Drosophila melanogaster: one gene and its partner. The protein of the gene in region 1 interacts with the protein of each later gene in a biochemical or structural test. Each region holds a gene or a part of one and is shown in the gene's direction. Other genes may lie near its edges. The genes, in order: hppy and mats.

Evidence for each region.
Region 2: of the proteins of hppy (region 1) and mats, one has a biochemical effect on the other in vitro, tested with the Drosophila melanogaster proteins (one study listed by BioGRID).

Annotation. Positions count from the first base shown.
Region 1 is NT_033778.4:19,172,337-19,183,792, forward strand, and holds the start of hppy (happyhour), read left to right. Parts: upstream 1-6,401; 5' UTR 6,402-6,536; intron 6,537-7,162; 5' UTR 7,163-7,396; coding exon 7,397-7,522; intron 7,523-11,456. Other genes in the region: CG10737 (uncharacterized protein), read left to right, coding at 9-188, 376-585, 1,096-1,307, 1,368-1,785, 2,003-2,029, 2,241-2,447, 2,546-2,972, 3,852-4,011 and 3 more.
Region 2 is NT_033777.3:22,415,426-22,426,881, forward strand, and holds mats (mob as tumor suppressor), read left to right. Parts: upstream 1-5,735; 5' UTR 5,736-6,163; coding exon 6,164-6,177; intron 6,178-6,542; coding exon 6,543-6,709; intron 6,710-6,770; coding exon 6,771-7,249; 3' UTR 7,250-7,877; downstream 7,878-11,456. Other genes in the region: lqfR (liquid facets-Related), read left to right, coding at 1-1,885; Nop56, read right to left, coding at 3,813-4,897, 4,963-5,365, 5,529-5,531; pinta (prolonged depolarization afterpotential (PDA) is not apparent), read right to left, coding at 8,171-8,369, 8,427-8,656, 8,873-9,265; CG13847 (uncharacterized protein), read right to left, coding at 10,109-10,170, 10,279-11,305, 11,414-11,456. UniProt on the Drosophila melanogaster protein: Coactivator of Warts (Wts) kinase in the Hippo/SWH (Sav/Wts/Hpo)signaling pathway, a signaling pathway that plays a pivotal role in organ size control and tumor suppression by restricting proliferation and promoting apoptosis.

The DNA of each region.
Region 1 (11,456 bases):
CAACACAGCTCATCACCTTTGACTGCGATGCAATGCCGGTGTTGCAGGTGAAGACCTTCCGCCAAAAGTCGGGCAAGGTGGAGACCTCCCACTACAAGGTCACCGTGTCTAGGTTCCGCGCCCGTATGGCCATTCCCATGAACTACAACAGCCTCAAGGGTGAGATGCGAGTCGAGGGCTATCCGGATGTAAGTAACTTTTTGTAACAGCAAAAAGAAAATTTAAACAAATCATACAACTCATAAAAGTTTGATTAACATGAAAGTGAACTTAAAGTAGAGTTAATTTATGAGTTGTGTTACTGTTTCGACACAATTATAAACCAATACCAAGACCATATTCGATACTAACCGAAACATCACTCTTTTTCCAAAGGTTCGCATCGCGATGAACAGCGTGGGTGCCATCAAGGCAATGGATCAGGATGAACAGCAATTGCAGACGGTGATCAGCGACATCCTGACGACGGCTTTGCGCGACACCATCTATCCGGTGGACTTCTCCATTTACTCCACCTGTCCAAGGGCCGAAGTGGAGCCCCTGGACCTGCCCGTAATCTATCCCGTTCACTATGACTCGCTGGCGGTGAGCGTCGGGAGCAGTGAGAAGATGCCAGCTCCCGTATTTGTGGCAGTGTTGTGTTTATTGTTCTTTGTACTCCTGTGTCCTGGTACACTTGTCATCGCACACAGAACTCGACTTGAGACTATCTGTACAGTGTTGTCATCCAAGCAAAACAAACAGACACTTCTCATTGCTCCCGTCCTTCATTGTGTTTATGGAATTCGCCTTTCATCGCTCGTGTTTCCGTTGAGAATTCGTTTTGTTACCCCCTATGATCCCTGCTGATCCTTGAAAGTAAAAAGAACTATCTTTTGCGCTCTCTCTTTTCAGGGCAACCAATACTTTCAATATTATTACAATTTCTAGTGTCTGTCACGCATTAGTTCCTAATTAAAGGCGAATTTCATAAGCCCCTAATTCCGTCTTTTTATCGCTCTTCTCAGAATGAAGTACCTCTTCCCTGACTTCTATCTTTTCTCTGTCTCTCACTGCACTCACTCATCGCATGTTGTCCTCCTACAATTCACACAGCACAACATGGAGCAGCACATGGGTGGCGTGGGATTGAGGGATTCGCAACACATGGTTTCCGGCCGTCGGCTGCTGGTGAAGATCGTCAAGGGCGATGGAATAAGGGATGCCCAGAATCCCTACGTGGTCATCGAGATGGACGAGCCGGCCCAGAAGAATCAGACGGGTACTCAGCGCGGCGGCAAACCCTTCTGGGATGAGCACTTCCTCTTGTAAGTGCTCACTGATTTCATATTGGCCAGAAATAGTAATGTTTTTCTTCAATATTGTAGTGAACTCTCCCCTCAATCAGCTGAGATCCTGTTCGAGGTGTATGACCATCCGGTGATTGCCTCAGATCCGCCCAAGTTTCTGGGTCTCGGCCTGGTTGGAATCGATGAGCTGGCCGTTGGACCCGCATCCACTCAACTGTTGCAGCTGCAACCACGCCCCTATGAGACGCAGCCCGTTTCGGGAGCCATCACCGTGGACTTTGTGTTCATTGAGGGTGCCGAAATCCCGGCGGGCGCACGTCCACAGCGTCTCAAGGAGGCACTGCGTCTCAGCACACCGGCCATTAACGAACACATCCGAAATGGAGCAGATCTAGCGGATGCAGCCGTAAGAGCTCTGCAGGATGGAGCGCTCTCGAGCAGCGGAAGTGGCGGACAACCCAGCAAGAGCACTTTGATCATCCACAGTGTGCAGCGGGTGAGTGTGTATGGCTAAAATGGGTTCACGCTTGTTGTGGAAACACATTTCTTCGGGCAAAGATTCCGAGAATAAAATAACATCCGTGACACCCAATTTTCGTTAGAGGTTTCATACATTTCGTGCCCTCCTTTTCCGCATTGTACGGTTTTTATAATTTCCTTTTGTTTTTCTTTACCTTTATTTCATTTCATTTCCGTCTCTTGATCCCGCCCAGAATTCAAGCAGCCCGAATGCATTTAAGGTAAACACCCAGACCTGGTCATCATTACTTCAATCGTTCCTTTGAGTTATCTGAGTTACTGCGTCTCTAATCCCGCCCTCATGATGATGTTCAAGTCATGTAGGCTAGTTAGTATTTAAGCCAAGCTAATTTCAAAATGTTTCTCGTTCTGTTTGCTCTGCCTAACCCCCCCAAAAATGCGCTTCTTTAACCAAATCCTCGAACCAATCAGGTCGAGTTGAATAGAGATGGCCAAATCGAGGTGACCGATACGGCGACGGAATTGGATCAGGCAGTGGCTCAGGCATTCGAACGTGCCGCCAATGAGGCACAAACCGAACTTGAGCTGGAGCTGGCCAAGGAGGAGAAGTCCAGCCAGCTGGGTGAGCCTCTCATCGATTCAGGTAATGGCACCGTCAACGAGGAAAGCACCGCTGAGGTAAGTACACTGAGTTCACTAAGTTCACCGGCATGGCATGCAGTTAGAGTTGAAAGCTAGAGAAGATTCCGCATTAATAACCGTTGAATCACTTGCAGTTTGGCCAGCCCAATGCCGCCTCATCGCCCAATGGCAGTAGTTACCACAACAACTATAGCCTCAATGGCAATGGTAACTCGAATGGCGCCGGTTCGGGCGGATATAACAGTCTGCCACGAAACGGTGGTGCCCAGCAGCTGGCTCAGCAATCCGGATTATTGGAGGGCCATGACGTGGTCGATGATCGCGGGCGCAGCAAAAAACGTAATTTCTTTGGCACCCTGAAGAAGCGGCTCAGCCGCTCCAAGACACGCACCCTCTCGGCCGATCAACCTAATAATAACAGTCATAAGTCACTATCAGCCACCAACTCGAATACAACAACAGCCACCGGATTCCCTCGAACAGCCACCGGAACCCTCAATGGTGATTCTTCCCGTTCATTATCTGTCGATCGTGCCACTCTGTCCAAAAGCAATTCACTTGGTAATTACCATCTCAGTCACAGTCCTCCGCCAGTGTCCACGTTTTAACTATTTGAGCCCGGCTTAACGCACAATTTTTTTGGACAACTCCTGCATTCTGCTAATAACTCTGCGAAGGAATATCACTTCATATAGAACAACTATTAACTGCTTAGTGCATTGCAAAATCTTTTATGTCTAATACCTATCTTAAGTTGTTCATATTTTTGGCTCTCTAAAAAGCGTCCATTTTCATATGTAATTGGGACTTTCGCTTTATTATTCAGGCTTCAGCCTTATAAGTAGTAGTTATAAGCCATGATTCAAATCACAAAATCATTATTTTTCATACATCACATCTTATTTCATGAATAACTTTAGTACTAAGTGTAAATTGCTTTTCTCCCTTAAAGTTTAAGTACCCCAAGATATTGTACCATTCAAAGCTTGTAAATTAACTGTTTGGTAATCTGTATCTGTACTTGTATCTACATCTGTTGTCTGTTTTATCTTCTCTCCCTTAACACAATACCCATCAACTGCTAACTGAACTGTGATCCACAACACGAATCTGTATGTATTTCATGGTTCCGATACACGCACATGAAACACCTATTTCAACAAAAACTTAACACGGTTGAATATTTTTGGAATATTTTTTGTAAATATTTGGGTTTATTTTTGGAATTTGGCTTTTGAATTTTTCTTTTTATAATCTCTGATTCGATTTTGGTTGTGATTATTTCTCATACTCCTCTCCTATTCTTTTCTTTTGTTTATTTTCATATGTGCAAAATATGATTTGATGGGTCCTAACGGGTGCTTGGTTTGTGTGCCACTCTCAACTTGCCACATAAAAAAAAAACAAAAACAAACACACACTAAAATTAATAAAACGCAGGACCACGCATGGGCATTGGTCACTCCATCACCGACCACTCACGTCGCTCCTCAATTTCAGAATCCTCGGCCATCTCAGGCTTTTCCTCGGCTAGCAATAAAACCTACGTGCACGAGGCCTCCACCCTGGTGCTGGAGACCATCGAGAATGGCATAAAGCGGTGAGTTTCGATCGAGTGTTTGCATTTTATGGATTCTGATGGAACTGCTTCATGTGCATGATCTTTAGCCACTTCATTGTGCCTTTGGCCATCGCCCAGAGACCGCGCTGGCGTCGCAAGGGCACCAAGCTGCACATCTACAACGATCACACCTTCATCGCCAAGCATTTGAGCGGGTAAGTTTAAAGTAGTAAGCATTAGTTGCTTTGAATATAATTAACGAATCCTTTCACATTCCAGAAGCGGTCTGCAGTGCTCCATCTGTATGAAGTCCATCCCGCGGAGGCCCGGAAAGCAGGGCTACGAGTGTCGCGACTGCCAGCTGATTAGTCACAAGCAGTGCCACATACGGGCACCACAAGCATGTCCCAATCCCACGGTGCTCTCCATGGAACTGTAAGTGTACCTGAATCTCCGTCAGCTTTTCATCCTTTTCTCTGCCCGATTTTGATATTTGAGGGAATTACAAACTCCTAACCAATACCCAATACTAATTTATTGATTTCGTTTTATTTTTCTCTTTCCACACACACACACAACACAACACACGAATACGCACACCCACCCAATGAAACAAAAAATAAATAAAACAGAACGTCATTTCCGGTACTCACAGAGAGAGATATAAACCTAGTTAACTAAATCCTTATTTTGTGACCAATCCAACTATCTGAATACTTATTCTTTTGTAAACAACTTGAATCCGCCAAATGCAGTTTGATATTTACCAAGAGCAATTTTTGATTTACTCACTCCACTGAATTGGCGTCAGAAATGGAAAATTCGGCTTCGTTTTCCGGCTTCCGCTAGCATCCTCCCATACCCAATCGCACTGTCACCTCGCTTGGCCACGCTGTTTCATTATGTGTAATATAACTTCTGGGCACTAATTCGAGCTCTTTTTCTCATCGCATCCCTCACACGAAATACAACCAAACCACCCACACGGACACAGGATGGCCAGTGAGGAGTAGAAAGGTCTCAGCCACAGCACAGCATCTTTAAAGCCAGTTAAATACCATTCTTAAGTGCTATCCAAGCGATGTGCGAGTTCATTCTGACGCCATATATATACATATATATAGTTAAAAAAGAACCTACACAATCCTCCTTCGATTTGACCAAACAAAAAATAGAAAAAACTCCAGGGTTCTAGATCCGTTCTGCTGCAGTTTTGTGTGGTTCGCGCATTTTCCAGTTGACCCTTTGGCAGCTGGAAAATCGGGGTAAGCTGGCAACGCATTCGCATGAAATTCCTCGTTCTGCTCCACTGTGTTGTGTACTAAATTAACACTCTCGTTCGGTTTTGATCGCACTGCGATCCATACTAATGCAATTCCTTCTGAGGATTGTTCAGTTAATTCGTTCAGATTCGGCCTAATACTGTTTGAAGCTTGTTTTCCAATTGTTAACCATTGATATTGCACTTGTCTAGATATATCTAACGTTCGTTTTTCTCTTATTTTCACAGAACTAAACTCAATTCAGCGGCGGCAGATCGCAGCATACGGAAGCTGTGAATATGGGGAATACCCTGGAATCCAAGCCAGACAGCCCCAAGCCGAGAAACCTTAATCGAAATAATACCCTAGTTACATAGAAGTGAAGGAAGGAGCTGTGCTAACCATCTTCTTCTGCTATGGAACATCTCGATACATTTTACGTTATTTATTTATACACTCACGCGAACACACACATGTGCAATAAGTTCTTTGGATTCGTTTTTAACCCATTTCTCCGTGTCAACGTGCTCGAGCCCTTTGATATTTTGTATTTTCTACAAACACGAATAATAATTGTACAAAATAAAAGTGAATTAGGGTTTTTTTTTTAAATTAAACAACAAATTCGGTGAATCAATAAAGTTGTGATCACTAATAATACCGGATATTTTTCGGAAAGCAGTTGGCAGTAGTTTGCGTGTAGATATTAAACATTTCACTTGTTTCGAGTTTAGGATCCAATTGTTGTTGTTGGGAACGGCGGTCTGCACAAAGGAGTTTTCCCAGTTTGTGGCTGATTTAGGTCTTAGTAACGTAGGAAAGATTAAGGGGAAGTTCCTATAAAACATTGCTGATTGGCAATACAGTGACAAATCATTTGTATGACATTCTAATTAATAACTAAAGAAACATTGAAGTAGATTTGAGAGCTTTAACTAATGTATTCCTTTAACGCTGCTACTAAATGTACTTTCATGTGGATTCAATGATTCATTTTATTGAATTTCGAATGTCCTTCAGCAGTTTAAAAATTTCCCCTGTCTGGCCACCCCTTCTGGCCAACTAATATCGATATCTTCGAAACGACAGCCCGACAGAGTTGCCACCGCCGAACGACCAGCGCTGCTATCGATAGGCCCGCGGGCAGAGTGCCATCGCTAGCGAGGGGTGAGAGGAACAACAACATTTGTGGGCTGCGCGTTGACGAAGTGCATGTGAAATTTTTCGTGTTCGTAGGACAATTGTTAATTATCCACTGGCCGAATTTGCCCCGCAATCACGTGTCGGTGTAATATGTGAACGGTTTGTGGTGCTCACCTAGCGCTTAGCGAAAATCGGAATAAAATTATAAAAAAAAAATAATAAACGTAGTATTTACACCAGCAACAACAACACCACGAACGGGCGACAAAGCGACACGCCTCGCGTTGTTGTTTTTGTTGTCGCGTGTTTTTTTACTCGGCAGCACAGCAACTATTTATTTATTTAGGCAATTTCGCTGGCAAAAACAAAAGTGGCCTTCATAAATTCTAATAAAAAGTAATTAAAGTGCAAATGCATTGAGAAGCAAGGAAGAGGAGACGAGAAGATAAAGAATATATGCAGTGGAAGAGAGAGAGCGCGAACGAGAGAGGGGATTACAAAAAACGAGACATCGTTCACTTGCCCTCTCGCTCCCACCCCCGCGCTTTCTCCACCTTCTTCTCCACCCTGGCCTTTATCAAATTTGTTGTTGCTGCTTTATTTGCTGATTTTTGTTTTCATCGCTTTTTTTTTTATTCTGCGTCATAATTCGCGATTCTCTAGTTTCGTGTGTGTATCAATTCAATTCTCTGATCAGAATCTGATTCATATGAAATAAATGTATATGTTTAATACATAATATACAAAAGTCCAGTTAACCTTACGTAATTGTGTGTATTTCAAAGCGTCCAAAATGCATCTCGATCCACAAAAGTATCTAAATTTCGCCTGCTACGTGTGCTAATCAGTCAAACCCAAAAAACGAATAAAGCAGCGTCAAGAGTAAGAGTGTCAATCAAATATTAAGAGTATACCCACCCAGTAAAGAGAGGTCCAGCCAAAAGGACTCGATCGCCTCGAACCGAAAGCGGAAGCGGAAGCGGAAACGGCAACGGCATACGGATACGGAAGCTGCCAAGATGGCCGCCGCCCACAGTCACCACAATGCCAATATGCTCAGCTCGGACATCTCTCGCCGAAATCCGCAGGACGAGTACGAACTCATCCAAAAGATTGGCTCGGGAACCTACGGCGACGTCTATAAGGTGAGTCGAAATAGAAGCCTTTAGCTGTAGTACAAAGTGGTATTAGGAAGGGAAAGGCAAAAACTTCTAAATAAAAACAACAGCAAACAAAAGGCAAAGAAATTGCAAAGTGTGCTCTTTGGATTTAGAATGTTTCCCCAAAAATCCGTAAGTTTTTATAGTTTCCCTCACTGCAATTTTTGCATTCCGTCTGCACAGGAAAAAATTATCCAACAGTTCTCAAATTCGATTAATTCACTTTGAATTGTATCAGGAAGTTTTCTGTTCAATAAAGAGACATCACACATTATGTAACACTATTGCCTCATTGGATTGCAAAACCTAGGAATAATGTTCTTATTGGATAATTTTTGGACACATAATCAAGAATAAATTTTAAAGTTGAATGTGTTCCATATGGTAAAACTAGTTCTAGTCCGTTATGCATTTATAGAAAATGAATTTAGTTACATATCTCAATGTGGAGTATCATTATTGCTCACCACGCCACATAAATAATAAAATTGTATGTGCGTTAAAATGTAGAACGCATTAAATCATAAAGGAGGAATGTTTTTTTGCTCCAGTGCAAGAGTGCATGTACCCCCTCGATCTCCCCACCGCCACCCACTTGCAGACCCTCATTTGTACATCTGTTTGCCACAGCATGTTTCTCATTCCTTCACTACCCCCACCCCCCCTTCACTCCACATCCCTTTCAGCACCCCCTTCCCCCAAACCCCTCGCCCCGCCACAAACAAAAATATGCGCAATTTTAGTTTTCCATCTTCTTCTCTGTTGGATCGTTCTTTTTATACCATCCAACTTCCATGTTTACTCTTGCTGCCCGTCGAAGGGAAGTATGACAAATGCCCCGAAACGCCAGAGAAGTTGCCCTTGGGCGGGGGGGCGTGGCACGTTGCAATTGTTGTTGCCAGGGGCGGGATTATATGGGAATATATCGGGGGAGATATTATGGTATTTCTCATGTGCAGACCAAGGGTTAAGTTCCTCATTTTCCATATGGAATGCCTTTGAATTCGAGGGATTTCCCCAATTCGATTTATTGCATTCTAGTTGGCAACCCAAAATCTATAAATCATCAGCTTTTCGAACGTTTTCCATTCGATTAATTTTGACGAAATTGAAATTGATTAAATTTCACATTGCTCATAAAAGATGGGAATTCAATTAGTTTGTGCACTTTTGAAATTCGATATTAAGTATATCGTAATTTATAGATTTTAATTTGTAGAAAATGAGAGAATTGTTAATTAATTTGCTTTGGCATATTGATAACTTGGTTTGACAGCGCACAATGAAATCAATATGTCTATAATGTGCACCACAATTCTGCACGACATTTGAATGGTTTTTGACTCGCTTAATTTGAATGCTTAGGTTTTAAACAATATGTGCAGTTTTTTGGTTGGCTTTTGTTAATAACGTTTTATGTTGACTAAAGTCTTGTTTTTCTGTAAACTCAGGCAATCATTATTAGTCATCAAAGCGTAAGACTGTTGAGATTATGCTTATTCTTGCTCATCAGACTGATATTGGGACTTGATTCATTTTGCCTCACTTCAATTTATTCGATAAGCAGCCACGCGCTTGCATTGATTATTCGGATTAGTTTCGAATGTGTTATTTATTTATTTATTTATGTTTGCCCACATCTGGTTTTGTGGCCCTCTACTCATTTTGCCATCTGATTGTGTCTCGTTTTTGTTTTTTAGAGCCCGTTCCGTTCTGCTTTCTGTATCTTTTCTCCATGTTCCATCCATGAGATGCGTCATGCCATGAGTCCAAAGCCCATGGTTTCGGTTTCAATCCACCATGCAATTTACACTCTTTCGTTCCCCCTGCTTTTTACTTCGGTTTTTTTTTTATTTATTTTCACACCGAGGTATTTGGTTGTCAAGGGAATTTATGATGCCACACATCTAGAAAGGAGACGATGGCATTTCGATTCTGTTTACACAAGCGACAAGTTCGCCAAATGAAAACAATCGGTTTTGGGGATAATTTGCAGTTTGGTTTTCCGCATAAGTTTTTGGCTAAACCATTATTACACATCGAGCACTTGAAGTGCAGGGCAATCGAAAAGCTCGCTTTTCCTCTCATTTTTTTCGCAACTCGTTTCGCGATATCAATTTACAATAGAAATAATAACAGCGAAATGAACAACAATGCGCCCTGTTGACAGGCTATTACGAATGGAATTGGGTTTCTACTGCTCCAATTTGTTTGCTCCACCTCCTCCCATATGCCACACCCCCTTCTAACCCCACAACACACTCATTGATTCTTATTAGTGGCACAATGATCCAAAAATTTAGTGCAACGCCGCAAATAAATGTTCAGCTGGAGAAAATGGGTGGAGCTTTAAAAATTTATGTGATTCAGTCTTGCTGGACTGTTGACATGCAAATTTAGATGTTCAATTTAACGAATGCAGATGATAAATGAAATGTACATATTTATATTTTCAGTGAGATTTAAAGACTAAAGTATAATTTTTTGACTAGTGACTCAGTTTAATATTACGTGCTTGTTTCGAGTTTATTTAACTGTGCTCTTTTTTTTTCCATATTTCACCCTTATTCAATATTCTTAAAAAATATTTATTTTAACTTCTAGTTATTTTATGCATGTTTATATATGCACTATATAAAAAGTTATTGCAATGTTTTTAATTTGTACGAGTATTCCTCTGGAGAAAAACTTGGAGTATAAATGGCACCTGACATGGCGGGTGGGAAAACTCAAGACGGGAAAAACTTTGACTCAAGAGGAAGGTGCTGCTGTTGCACCGGGTTTTCATTACCGGAAATTCGAGAGCGAAACGCAAGTGGGTAAAAGAAAATAACAGAAATATGAAAATAGTGAACTCTGTGCTTTTCACGGAGCACAAAAGGAAAAGTGCCAGGTTACCTAGCGTTATGCAATGAAAACTGGCACAAATACTAGTGCATAGGCGCATACATATTTTATGCGTGTGCTTTCGTTTGTGTGTGTGTGTGATTGCCTTTGCCAGGCACTTGACTTCGCCATCCATTGTAGTTGTTGTTGCCACACTTTAACAATCATCCTCGTCATTGTTGTTGCTGCTGGCTCTTTATTTTGTTTTTGCCCTGTTGTTGTTATTGTTGTGCACGCAACACGCATGAAAACATGAAAAAATTGGCGCAAAGCTCTCATCTAGAGTGGGTGGTGGTTGTGTTTTTTTTTTATTTTTTAGGTTGGAGGAGGGATGTAGGAAGGTTTTGAGAAAATTACTAGAGAAAAGAACGAAGTGAAGTGAATTTGTAGCAGCAAAGTGATGGCAAGGCAAGGGGGTGTGGCTAGGGACGGGAGGCGGTGGGCGCTTAAGGAGGTCACGTAGGCAACGCATGTGTGTGTGTGTGTGTGTGTGTTGGTAGTGGGCGTGGCTCAATGCGTTTTGTCTGTCTGACAGTATGTGTTTATGTTTGCTGATTTGCTGCTTGTTTGGTTTCGGTTTTCACACAAATTGCAATTGCAATTGCAGTTGGCTCTGCTGCTAAACATAAAGCTCAGTTCCATGACGCCGGCCCCCCTCCCCCCGCTCCTTTTGTTTGCCGAAAATGTTGTCATTGTTTCTACGAGGACTCTCTGAATTTCCAAAATTCTGTCCTACGCAAAAACCAAACTTCACAGCCAAATGATTTGCGCTAAAAGCCCAACAACTTTGTCGGCCCAGACAACAAAGCAAAAAGTGAGAAGGAAATAGCAAGAAAGCGATGAAAAAGTGTAGGGCAAAAGGAAACCTTAACCAAGACTAGCCGAAAAATGTTTGCCTTGAACTAGGCGACGGGTAAAAACAAAAGACGAAAACAACAGCCAAGGCAAATTGAAAAATGTCAAAGGGTTATTCCCGCGATTCGCATCGACTGCAGCTATATAGCCAAAGCAAAAGCCTAGAGATCCTATGGAT
Region 2 (11,456 bases), on another chromosome or scaffold:
TCATACCATATTAAAAGAATTGGATCCCGCTGCTTGCCTAAAAACAGCACAATCGGCTCTTTCTGCGGGATTGAACCTGTACGTTCTTATAGGTGCTGCCACTTTGGAGACACCTCATTGGAAGCATTGCCTGCTCCAGAAGTTGCCTCTTCAACGCACACCCGTGGATAATAAGCAGCTTATAACATTGGCCAGTTATCTTAACGCCGTAGCTCCTGCTCAACTGCAGGTTCTTTTGAATCAGTTGCTTGGAATCTGGTCGAAGCGCATTTCCTTGCAGAAACTGGGCAGCCAAGAGCACTTGGCTATATCCAAATTGCTTGTGTTGGCGGCAAAATGCCTTTGTGGGAATCTTGTAATGGATTTGAACATCCAGCGTCAGCTCCACGATGGACTCAGCAACCATTTGCAGTCCCCAGATGCACTGCAGCGTCATGTGGGAATGAAGACCGTGGAGCTAATTTTCAATTTTATTGCCTTGCCTGATGCGAAGGAGGATGATCGTCTACGATTTGAGTACGATTCATTTAAGGATACATTTCATTGGCACATCTTCGAAGAGTTTGATGAACTTGGCCAGTTTGAAAGCCCGAGCAAAACTAAGCTAGATGAGAAGCCTTGTGAGGATCAGCTGAAACAATTAGAACTTCATCTCAGTGACTTTATGAGTACTACAGAGCAGAAAGAGCCGCATAAGCCGAATATTGAAATACAAGCGAATCCCGCTCCCGAAAATCAGAATGTAAACATGCAGCTGGACTCGGATGACGACGAGCCACTGGATGAAGACGACGATGAATTGAAACCCTATGACATGTCCAACGATACAACCACCACCATTGATCAACGTCCCAAATTCGTCATCGACTTACTGCACTTGCTCCGAGAAAAGGTGGAGAATTATCAGGTGTTCGAAGGAGCCTTGGGCACAGCGGAGCAACTTATACGGGGTCAGCTGGCCAAACATGATACTCAGTTGGCCTTGGATCTGCTACAACTTTTCTTGGTCATGGAAATGCAGTTCTACTATGAGCAATTCGAACGTACGCAATTTAAGTGTTGCGTGGCCATTTGTGTGGCTCATCCTGGTCCCTGTGCCGAGTACCTATGCCGCCAGTTCCACACGGATAACTCCTTCTATTCGGCCAGTGTCCGTATTCTGATCCTTCAGGTACTGGCAGCAACGGCGAAAGAACTTTCTGGCGATGAAAACATGCAGAATGAGATGGAAATTGTGGATGTTATACCACCGGCAGCCAAGCATCCCCGAAAGTTCGAATTTCAACAGGAGGAGGAGAGTCCGGCCGCTCGTCTGGCCGCTGCGCAAAGGATCATCCGCGACCGGCTGCGGGCCAAGACGAAGAGATATTTCAGCAAGCCCAAAGCTGGAGATCAAATGGAGAAGGCCAACCCATTTCACCCCGTTGCCGGTACATTTTTCTTCAGTTTGGTGAGGGGACAGCGCACCCGTCAGATGCTTTACGTAAAATACGAAAATATTTCTCACGACATCGACACCCAGTTGCTTGTTAACCTGCTAAACACCATGTCCGTGTTGGTTATGTGCTCCCAGAACTGTCCACTGTTGCCAGCGATGACCCGCGAGATCTTTGACCTATGCGCCTTTGTGCGTTTCAATGCCGAGGCCCGCGTCCGAGCGGCCACATTGCAGCTAATAGGAATCGCCTTGGTAACCACACCAGCTCATGTGCTGGCCCAGCACTTTGCGGAGTCATTGAACGAACTGCAGCGCTGGCTGAATGACTTCATAAGATCGCCATTGGTGGGCGGAGAGACTTCGGAGGAGTGTCGTGAACTGGCCCAAAGCATTTTGGACACCTGCTACAAACTCTTTGATACAGCCGCCATGGAACAGGCTGCCTAACTTGGCCATCAAAAAGTTTTGAAAGCAGCCTATAGAGTTTTAAGAGATTTAAAATATTAAAACTGTATTTAAAATACACTAAGCATATTTCTTGTTACGGAAAAACGAACAATTTTTTACTGAAATATTTCCGAATTAATATATGATATATATGATTAAATACAAGATTACTTCATACTTTACATCAATTCTCATACAAACGTTAACGCTGTGTCCTTAAACATTTTCTTATAATTGTATAAACTAATAATAGACTCGAGAGTTAGGTATTTGCTAGAAATAAGACAACAGTTCTAGGAATTATTTTTTAAATATCTATCGCCCTCGAAGCCATTGTATTCCAGGTATACATATATGGATTTACTTCATTTATACTACTTTCTTTTGTTTATTTGTTTTTCTCCTACTGCATATTTGTATTGCAAACCACACACACATTGGATCCAATATTATTTCTCAAATATATACATACATATGTACTTAATAATGATGAATTGAAAAGCATTTCTCAATATTCCGGGCATTGTGCGGCCTCCGCAGCCACGGACTCATTAGGTAAACCAATCCAAAACGGCAATAGCCACATAACAGATACGAACCTATTCTTTCCTTCTGTAATTGCACTTGATTTGCTGCGCAAACGCTTCCGAGTAGTGACCACCTCATTAGCCGATCACCAAGTAGCCGCATTCGCAATTCTATCGAAGCCACATATTTAAAACAGCTTTTTGTGAAACCAAAATAAAAACGAAAACTGAAACCCCGAATAACATTATTATTGCATTTGTTTTTTTCCAGACAATATGATGCCTCCCATTCCCGCCGTCACGGGCAATAATCTGCTCCAGCCCATGTCGGTGACCAATAATAACAATAATACCAACGGAGGCGCAGTCCCCGCCGCTGCCAGTGTCCAGTCTACCGCTGTGGGCGCCACCTGGTCGGGCGACCTGAAGGGCGGCAAGATGAACATTGACCTGGACAATCTGCTGATGAGCAAGTCGGGCAAGCCCAGTGCCCCGGCCCCTTCGATGAATGCCCTGAAGACCAACAGTCCGGCAAAGGCGCCACTGAATGTGCAGACGGGTGGCGGATTCCCTGGACTGTCGCCAATGACCAGTCCGAACATTTTTGGGGCTCCGGCACCGCAGCAAAGCATTCCACAAAACCAATCAGCATTTGCCAACTTTGGAGCTTTCCAGCAGCAGCAGCAGAATCACAGCAATAATAACAATAATAGCTCGTCGGCATTCGACTTGTTTCAATGATATTTTTTAGCCTAATTTAACCCAACCAACCTACTACCCAAAATGTCCACTCTCACATTCACATTTCCACGATCGCTAAACTTGTCAGTTCTATATATTATTTACGTTTTCCTTTCCCCTTGCTGTACAAAGTTTGCGACACGTGCAATTTGTTTCTAAATTCGTTGTTAAACAATTTACCCCCGATGCAATTTTCCGGATCAAACCCATTAATTCCACATCCGTCCTGATCGTCCACTCGGAATTTGAAAGTCGTCATCAAATGCAATACACAGAGTAGTTGAATAATGGTTGTACTAAACGGATTCGTTAGCACAACGCGCGGACGGACGGCTGAGCGATCCAACATTGAAATTGTTAAACAAAATACTACACGTAATAAAATCAAACAATTTTAGCAATAGTTAACGTTACGATGTGTCTGTATATAAATTGAATGTAAAGCAAATATGAAATATAAAACAATTGAAACCAATAATTATGATAGTCTCTTGATTTAAAACGCAAACTCATAAAATTCCGGTGGGAATACCCTCCAAAGTATATGTTTATTATTATTTGAAATGCGATCCATCAGGGGGTCAAAGGAAATACAAAAGAAGCATGTAAGTAAAAGATAATAGTGTGGACTTAAACTAAGTTGAATGTAACAGAGACATTTACGCCTCCACCGCTTCCTTGTTTTTGTTCTTCTTTTTCTTCTTCTTCTTTGGCTCTCCATCATCGTTGCCATTGCCATTTTCCGCCTCGGCGGCTGCTCCGTTTCCATTACTGGCGCCATTCGTCTCGCCCTCGTCTTCAGCCGCTCGCTTCTTCTTTTTCTTCTTTTTCTCGGACTGTACAGTGATTGCCGCCTCTTGACCAGCTGCCTCGATGGCCTCCTTCATTACCTCAATGTTCTTGCGCGGCACATCGCCGGACTCGTAGAACTTGAGGCGATCTTCGACCTGTTGCTTAAGAGTTTCGCCAAACACGCTAGTCGGCTGTTCCAGGAAGCAATCGATACGCGACGCGATGGAGCACTTGTTGGCCAGGAATCGAGAGATGCGACCCTTGTTCTTCAGGCCAGCTCGACCAATGAACGAGGAGTGATAGATAAGACCATACTTGGGCGTATTGGAGCGGGTCTTTAGAGCACGGAAGAGCGCCTTCTCGGCACCCAGGATTTGTACTGTAGATGCTGGGTACTTGGCCAGATTAGTCAAGCTGCCGGCATGCGATATCAGGCGGGCACCGACCTGGTCGCCAATCAAAGACTGCAGATTGGGTGCCACCAAGTTCATCTTGTTGTGCAAGTAGGTAGACAGTTTCTTTCGGTACTCGGAAAGCTTGACAACGCGCTCTGCGAACAGCTCAATGTTCATCAGATCAACAATGGAGATGTCCATGCCCATGGACATCTTGGCGGCATCAATGATAGCCTGAGCCTTGGCGGAGTCCATGACGATCTTCTCAAGATCCTCCAGCTGGTCTTGCGTGAGGTTCTTGCGATCCTTGATGAACTTGGCCGCCTTGGCGAACATGTAATTGTCGGGAACGATTTTGACCAGTTCTGGGAAGTGATACGAGTACCACTCGCGTATCCGCATAGAGAAGGTATTTACGTCCTTATCCAACTGATCCAGCAAAGCAATCGACTGGATGATCATGTTGTCGGAACGATGAACATTGAACTTGACCTTGGCACGCGAGTAGCTGTGGCCCAGACCCAGCTGAGCAACGCCAGCGGACTTGTCGGTGAATCCTGCATCGGATGGAGGAGGCTTTAGTTAGACAAAGAGGATTTTCCTTGCAAAGCAGGTAGCTTACCCTTGACCAGCTTAGCGAAGTGGAATCGCACGCCGCGCAGAATCTCAGGAACCACTCCAAAGTGACTGCACTGGACGCCAATGGCCTCGGTGATTGCAGCTCCCAGCTTGGCATCCGCAATACCCAGGGTGCACTTCTTCTTCTTCAGCTTGGCAAAGAAGTCATCCAAGAAGGAGAGCAGATCCTGCGGCACTATGCCCTCGGATATGGCATTGATGTTTTCCAGTGCGGCAATGGCCGTCTTGAAAGGTGCAAATCCAGCCAGCTTAACAATTGAGTTGAACTTGGCGAGGTCCGTCACCGAGGACTCCACCTGGGGCAGGAACATGGACACCTCTTCGAACTCCTTGACGGAGAAGAGCGAGAAGCCCGCCGCATGCTCGTACAGCACATACAGGTTCGACTGGAGGCGGGGAAATGAAAAATTATCAGTCTGATGCGGTGGCAGACACATGTGGTTTTGGGTGCTCCGCGTGTGTAGGTTAGTTTTCGCAGGGAAAACATTTTCATTTCACGGGCAACCCGCAGAAAATTCAAATATATGATTATTGCACTGAAATATTTACCATGTCTATGCCGAATATATGCCGATTTAATTAAGAAATATATATTTTTATACACCCACGATGCTGCTACAGTTGTTTTCCCACGTGCTTACTTCAAGTGTGACCATAGCAAGCCGATTGCGAAATGTTAGGGACATACCAGATAAAATACCGCAGTACCGTACTGAATTATTTTAACAGGCTGGCCACGTTGATAGCCTGATAACCTGTCGCGTTGTCCCTCTCGCACTTTCATCAACTGTCTCTGTGTGTGAAAGCAATTTTATTTTTATTTATAACAAATTTTTTGCGTTTATAAACACAACAGAATTAACTAGTTGGCTCGGCACACTTCCTGGAACCGCTCGCATCAGCTGTTGGGCTACGGCACTAGTTAACAGACCGACCAACTGGAGGCCAGATACAGATACCATCATTGTCATTTCCCAATTGACCAGAGAAAGAAACCTGCTGCGAATTCCAGTCACTTTTCTTTAATTATTATTCGGCGCTAATTGTGTAAAAATCGGCGGAATAAAGCTGCTGACACGACACAGAAGAGCCGAAAAAGCGGTGTGGCACTCGCCGGAAAAGTCTACGCATAGGAAAATTCCATTGGAGGCTCAGTGAAAGGCGAAGCACAGCAATTGCATGCCATGGACTTCTTGTTGTAAGTTCTCAGGGGGGCAAAACGTAGTGCAACTGCAATCCTTTCGAGCACAAAGAAAGCTTGGATCACCCCGCCCCACATCTGACTTTCCGGCTTTGTTTGCCCTTTTTGGGGTGATATCCCCAACCTCTTGTACAGTGGAACTTCCCTAATTTTGTCTGCGGTGTTTAAAAAATAGCTTTTCAAAGATATCTTGCATTCTTCCTCAGTGAATTTAAAAAAAGAAAAAAAAAGGAAATATTTCTTTTAGGGAGTGTAAATTGAACGAAGTCGCTTACGTTTCAATCTATAGAATCTTTACTGTATTATGTTTTACTGAGTGGGGCTGTTTGGGGCCGCGACTTATTGCCTTTCTCTTTCCACAGCGGTTCCCGTTCCAGCAAGACCTTCAAGCCCAAGAAGAACATCCCGGAAGGCACACACCAATATGATCTCATGAAGCATGCGGCAGCCACGCTGGGATCGGGAAACCTGCGCAATGCAGTGGCCCTTCCAGATGGCGAGGATCTCAACGAGTGGGTGGCCGTTAACAGTGAGTCTAGTATAGTGTAACTAGCGAAAGATAACCAATTCTTATTGCCACTCCTTCGCAGCCGTGGACTTTTTCAACCAGATCAACATGCTGTACGGCACCATCACCGAGTTCTGCACCGAGGAGACCTGTGGCATCATGTCGGCTGGTCCGAAATACGAGTACCACTGGGCCGACGGTTTGACCGTAAAGAAGCCCATCAAGTGCAGCGCGCCCAAGTATATTGACTATCTGATGACTTGGGTGCAGGATCAGCTGGACGACGAGACCCTGTTTCCCTCCAAGATCGGCGTGCCGTTTCCAAAGAACTTTCACTCCTCCGCCAAGACCATACTGAAGCGTCTGTTCCGCGTGTATGCGCACATCTACCACCAGCACTTCACAGAGGTGGTGACGCTTGGCGAGGAGGCCCATCTCAACACGTCCTTCAAGCACTTCATCTTCTTCGTGCAGGAGTTCAATCTGATTGAGCGGCGCGAACTGGCCCCGCTGCAGGAGCTCATCGACAAGCTGACGGCTAAGGATGAGCGGCAGATATAGGAATCACTGCATGGAGCCGCGAATTTTCGCGATTCCGGCGGCGGTGGTGGTGGTCTGCGCTTGCAGTTGGACTTGTGATGAAAGCGCTCTGGCAGACTCGTGTATTACGCTTTAGTTAGTTACCGCCAATACTTTTATGTTTCGTTCATTGCTTCATGGGGTGCCTCCCACTAAACAAAAGAAAACAAAAAACCGCCAATTGGCAATGTGAACCGAACTATAGCGGGCTAATTGCTGATCCAGAGCAACTACTATATTTTTATATGTGAAACGTAAAAACGTATAAATCATATTTATATGTATATGTAAAGGAGAAAACAAAAGCAGCAAAAGCAACAGCACGCCTTTTATAACTAACACCTCCCGCTTTCGAGAAACAACAAATATTACGTTCACAAACTATGCGTGTTTCCTTGTTTATCGTTTTTCTTTCTGTATGTATTCTATGTATTTATTACTATTAAACTATCGCTAATTGCTCGCGGTTCAGCGGATCAAGCGATTTTGTAATGCAAACCCCAGCAATTTGAGGCGACGGTCGGCAGCACCCAATAACTGATAATAATTGTAGACTTGATAAACATTTTTGATACGTTTTATACTAATAAAGAGAATATTATGAATAAACTCGTCTCTTTTTTGTTTGGTTTATCGTGTATTGACACTTTATTAAGCAAAAAAAAAAAGATAACATTGATGATTAACACAACGAAAATAACCTTTTTTAAAAAGGTTTAACGTAATGACTTATAATATATACAAATATGGTTAAGTGGGGAATTAGGGAGTATTTGTAGTACCCTTCCATAAAATATGACAACTGATATGCGCCTTTGTGCATTTGCGCATTGTAAATGTTTTCGACTAATCTATAACATTCGGCTAATCGCCTTGTTATCACTGCCGCCACACTAACCCCAATCACTTGAGCTTGCTTTTGTATTTGTCTTGTTCCACATAGAAATCGGCGTTCTCCTCGACCAACTGCTTCCACTTCACAGACAGCTCCATATAGCTTAATCCCTGACCACCGAGTTCCTTTGGCAACTGATCGCAGCTCACGGATGTTCCTTCACGACGCACGAAAAGTCGCGATCTTATCTTGGGCGTCATGAATATTCTAAAAAAAATGATAATATATAGTAAATTCTAATTTGACTTAGAACATACAACCCACCTAAAGGTGTTCAAAAAGAAGTTCACATGGCGCGGGGCGTTGGTGAATTCCAATAGCTTGGGCTGACATGGATATGCGGTCCAGCTTTCCACGGATCTCTTGATGAGCTTCGGATTCATTTGAAGAGCGTGCCCCAGTTGAACGCCCTGCATATCCAGAATAGCCACCATTCCGCGGGCACAGGTCTCCGGATCGAGCTTTAGCAGCAGGTCCAATATCATTTTGCTGGTCTGGGAAACAAAGGTTGGAGATATAAGTATATGGAGGAAAAAATGTGGACGAAACTTATCGTATTTCATATTATTAAAATGTTAAGTTATTTTTTATTAAAGCACGAAAAGTTCGCCTTCATGACTATGTTTAATTTGTTAGCTACATATAGTTTAAGACATTTCATAAAATCGTTGTATTTTATTTTTTCCTGTGTACATATTTCCATGACTCACTTTAAAAACATTGTTCTGGCTGTGGAGCTTGGGATCGTGTGCTGCTGTGCGTATGACCACCACCATCCTTTGTTCGGCATCCGGACCGATGGGTAGGAAGACGCCCAGCTTGAGTAGGTCCTGGATCTCGGGCAATTGGGGATCGCGATTATCGAACCATTCGGTGCGCTCCGCCCGCATTTGGTAGAACGTTTTCAGTTTCTTTTTGGCCCGTTCCACATCGAACTTGGAGGTGCGGAGGAAGAAGTGCAGGTTCTCGAAGGTGTTGCATCCGTTGATCTGCGGATTGGCGACGAGCCAGTCGCTGAGATCCTGGACCTGCGCCAAAACCCTTTCGGGGTCACCATCGGTGGTGGCCACTTGTCTTTTGGAACTGCTGCTGCGCGACCACATGGCGCTCCTTTGGCGGTAACGACTGTCGGCGAACTAAAGCAATTGTTTATAAACAAATTGCGACATTCACTCGCCAAATGAAATAAGCTTTTCAAGCTTTTACGCGTACTCAGCGTTTTTTTTAATCGCTCGTCTCGTCGGCATTTCGCATAGGCAAATCGCATTCTAAAATTACATAAGTGCTGATCCGTTGCAAGCTTAATTGTTGCGTTTTGGCTCAATTGGATTAATTTAATTCGAATTGATTGGTGAGAAAAGCTGACTTTGTCACATTGTATTTTAAATTTGCCGATTTCGATTGACGCCGATGCACGCATGTTAGGGATGGGAGAATTCGAATACGTTTACAGACTCTGTTAATGCGCTGTTAACATAAACACTGTACCGGTTTTCTGGTCGTAATACTTCGTAGTTTTCAAAAATTATAACCCAAAAGATAAGTACCATGATGGTAAGTGGTTCATCAGAAATCTTTATTTTTATGTTATCATTATGAAAATATATCTAAAAACAAGCTGCTGTTGTACTTTAAGATAAACTTTATTCACATAGAAAATAAATAATTGTTACATTTCAACACATTGCTTTACCATAATTCTCATATCCTCCGCATTACTCATCCTGCTCATTTTTATATGTTTTTCTTAGGTCGATGCTTACGCTTTAAAATAGATTGTATATTTACAAAGATGTTGTACGCAAAACTTAAGTCAACGTGTAGGGCGGTAGATACTTGTTTCTGGGTAAAAAGGACTCAGAGGAGCAGGAGGTGTTTGGAGTTCGTGCTGGTTGTGGAGCGGGATGGTGGTGCTGGTTGGTGGTGCTTTTTGGTGGTGCAAGTGCTCAAAAGGCCCCGTTGAAGTGCAGGTTTTGTGAGGCGAACTGCGGTATCCCATGGTTGAGAGCTAAAACTTTACTGATTACTTTCAATTCGTCAAGATTTCTTAAGCTGCTAAATTGACTAAGATGATTGCCACTGGGGCCACTCGGTCTGCTCTTATAGTGTGCATTACCTGGACTAATGTCGCCGCTGGCTTTTGGCTGCTGCAACTGTTGCTGCTGCTGCTGCTGCTGCTGCAGATATTGCTGCGCGTTTTGCTGCAACTGGTTGCTCAACTGTGGCGTCAAGTGCTGCCTGTAGAAGTTCTGGTTCTCCAGACTGGGATTGGAATTGAGGCCAGGCTGCTGGCTAACAATCGTGGTGGCGAAGGAGTTGCTCGGCTGAATCTCCACATTGGAATTCAAACCGAAGTTACCTACTCCCGTCTCCTGGCGGAATTGCCGCGCCCTTTGCTGCTGCTGTTGCTGATGTTGTTGCTGCTGCTGCTGGAACACCGCATTGCTGACGTAGTTGGGCAGCAGCAACTGTTGCTGCTGCTGCTGTTGAAATGGCTTGTAATTGTTATGGGGCAAGGCCTGTAGTTGCGACGCCTCGGCCGGTGCAAAGTTGAACTGATTGGAGGGCTGAACCTGGGGGCTTTCGTTCGATTTCTGTAGAGATTGCTGCAAATTTTGGAAAATCTGCTGCACTGCATTCGCTGGCGGCTTCTGATAGTTATTCGCGTTTATGTTGCCATTGTGCAGGGCGAATTTATGACCCGAAACGGCATCGCGCAGCGGCAATTGCTGCTCAATTGGATATGTGGGATAAATAACAGTCTTGGTATGTGTGCTGGGTATAAATTCGACCGAAGGTCTTATGGAGTAACCCGCGCCCAAAGTGGGCGGTTGCAGACCCGTCTGAATGGCCTCCAGCGGACCATGTTGCTGCTGTACTTGCGGCAGTTGCTGCTGTACTTGCGGCAGTTGCTGCTGCTGTTGTTGCTGCTGTGGCTGCAATGTGCTGGGTTGGGCAATCGGTGAGCCCTGGAAACGGCTTTGGGTCTGCTCCTCTAACAGCTTCAGTTGACGCAGGATCAGAGCCTGCTGCTGTTGTGCCTGCACTTTCAACTGGTAGATCTGCTGCTCCAGAGCTCGCTGTCGCTCGATCAGATAGTTATTCACACTGGGCGGCTCAGGCAGATTGTTCAGGGGCTCCTGCTAAAATAATTATCATTTGACATTAATGAAGAATTATTATTATTAAATATCAATCGAAAGGTATTTGCTAGTCAATAAAAAATAGCGATTTAGTTTTGAGCAGCATACCTTCACATAATTGCTCGTAGAGCTGGCCAGGAAGGCGGGAGTG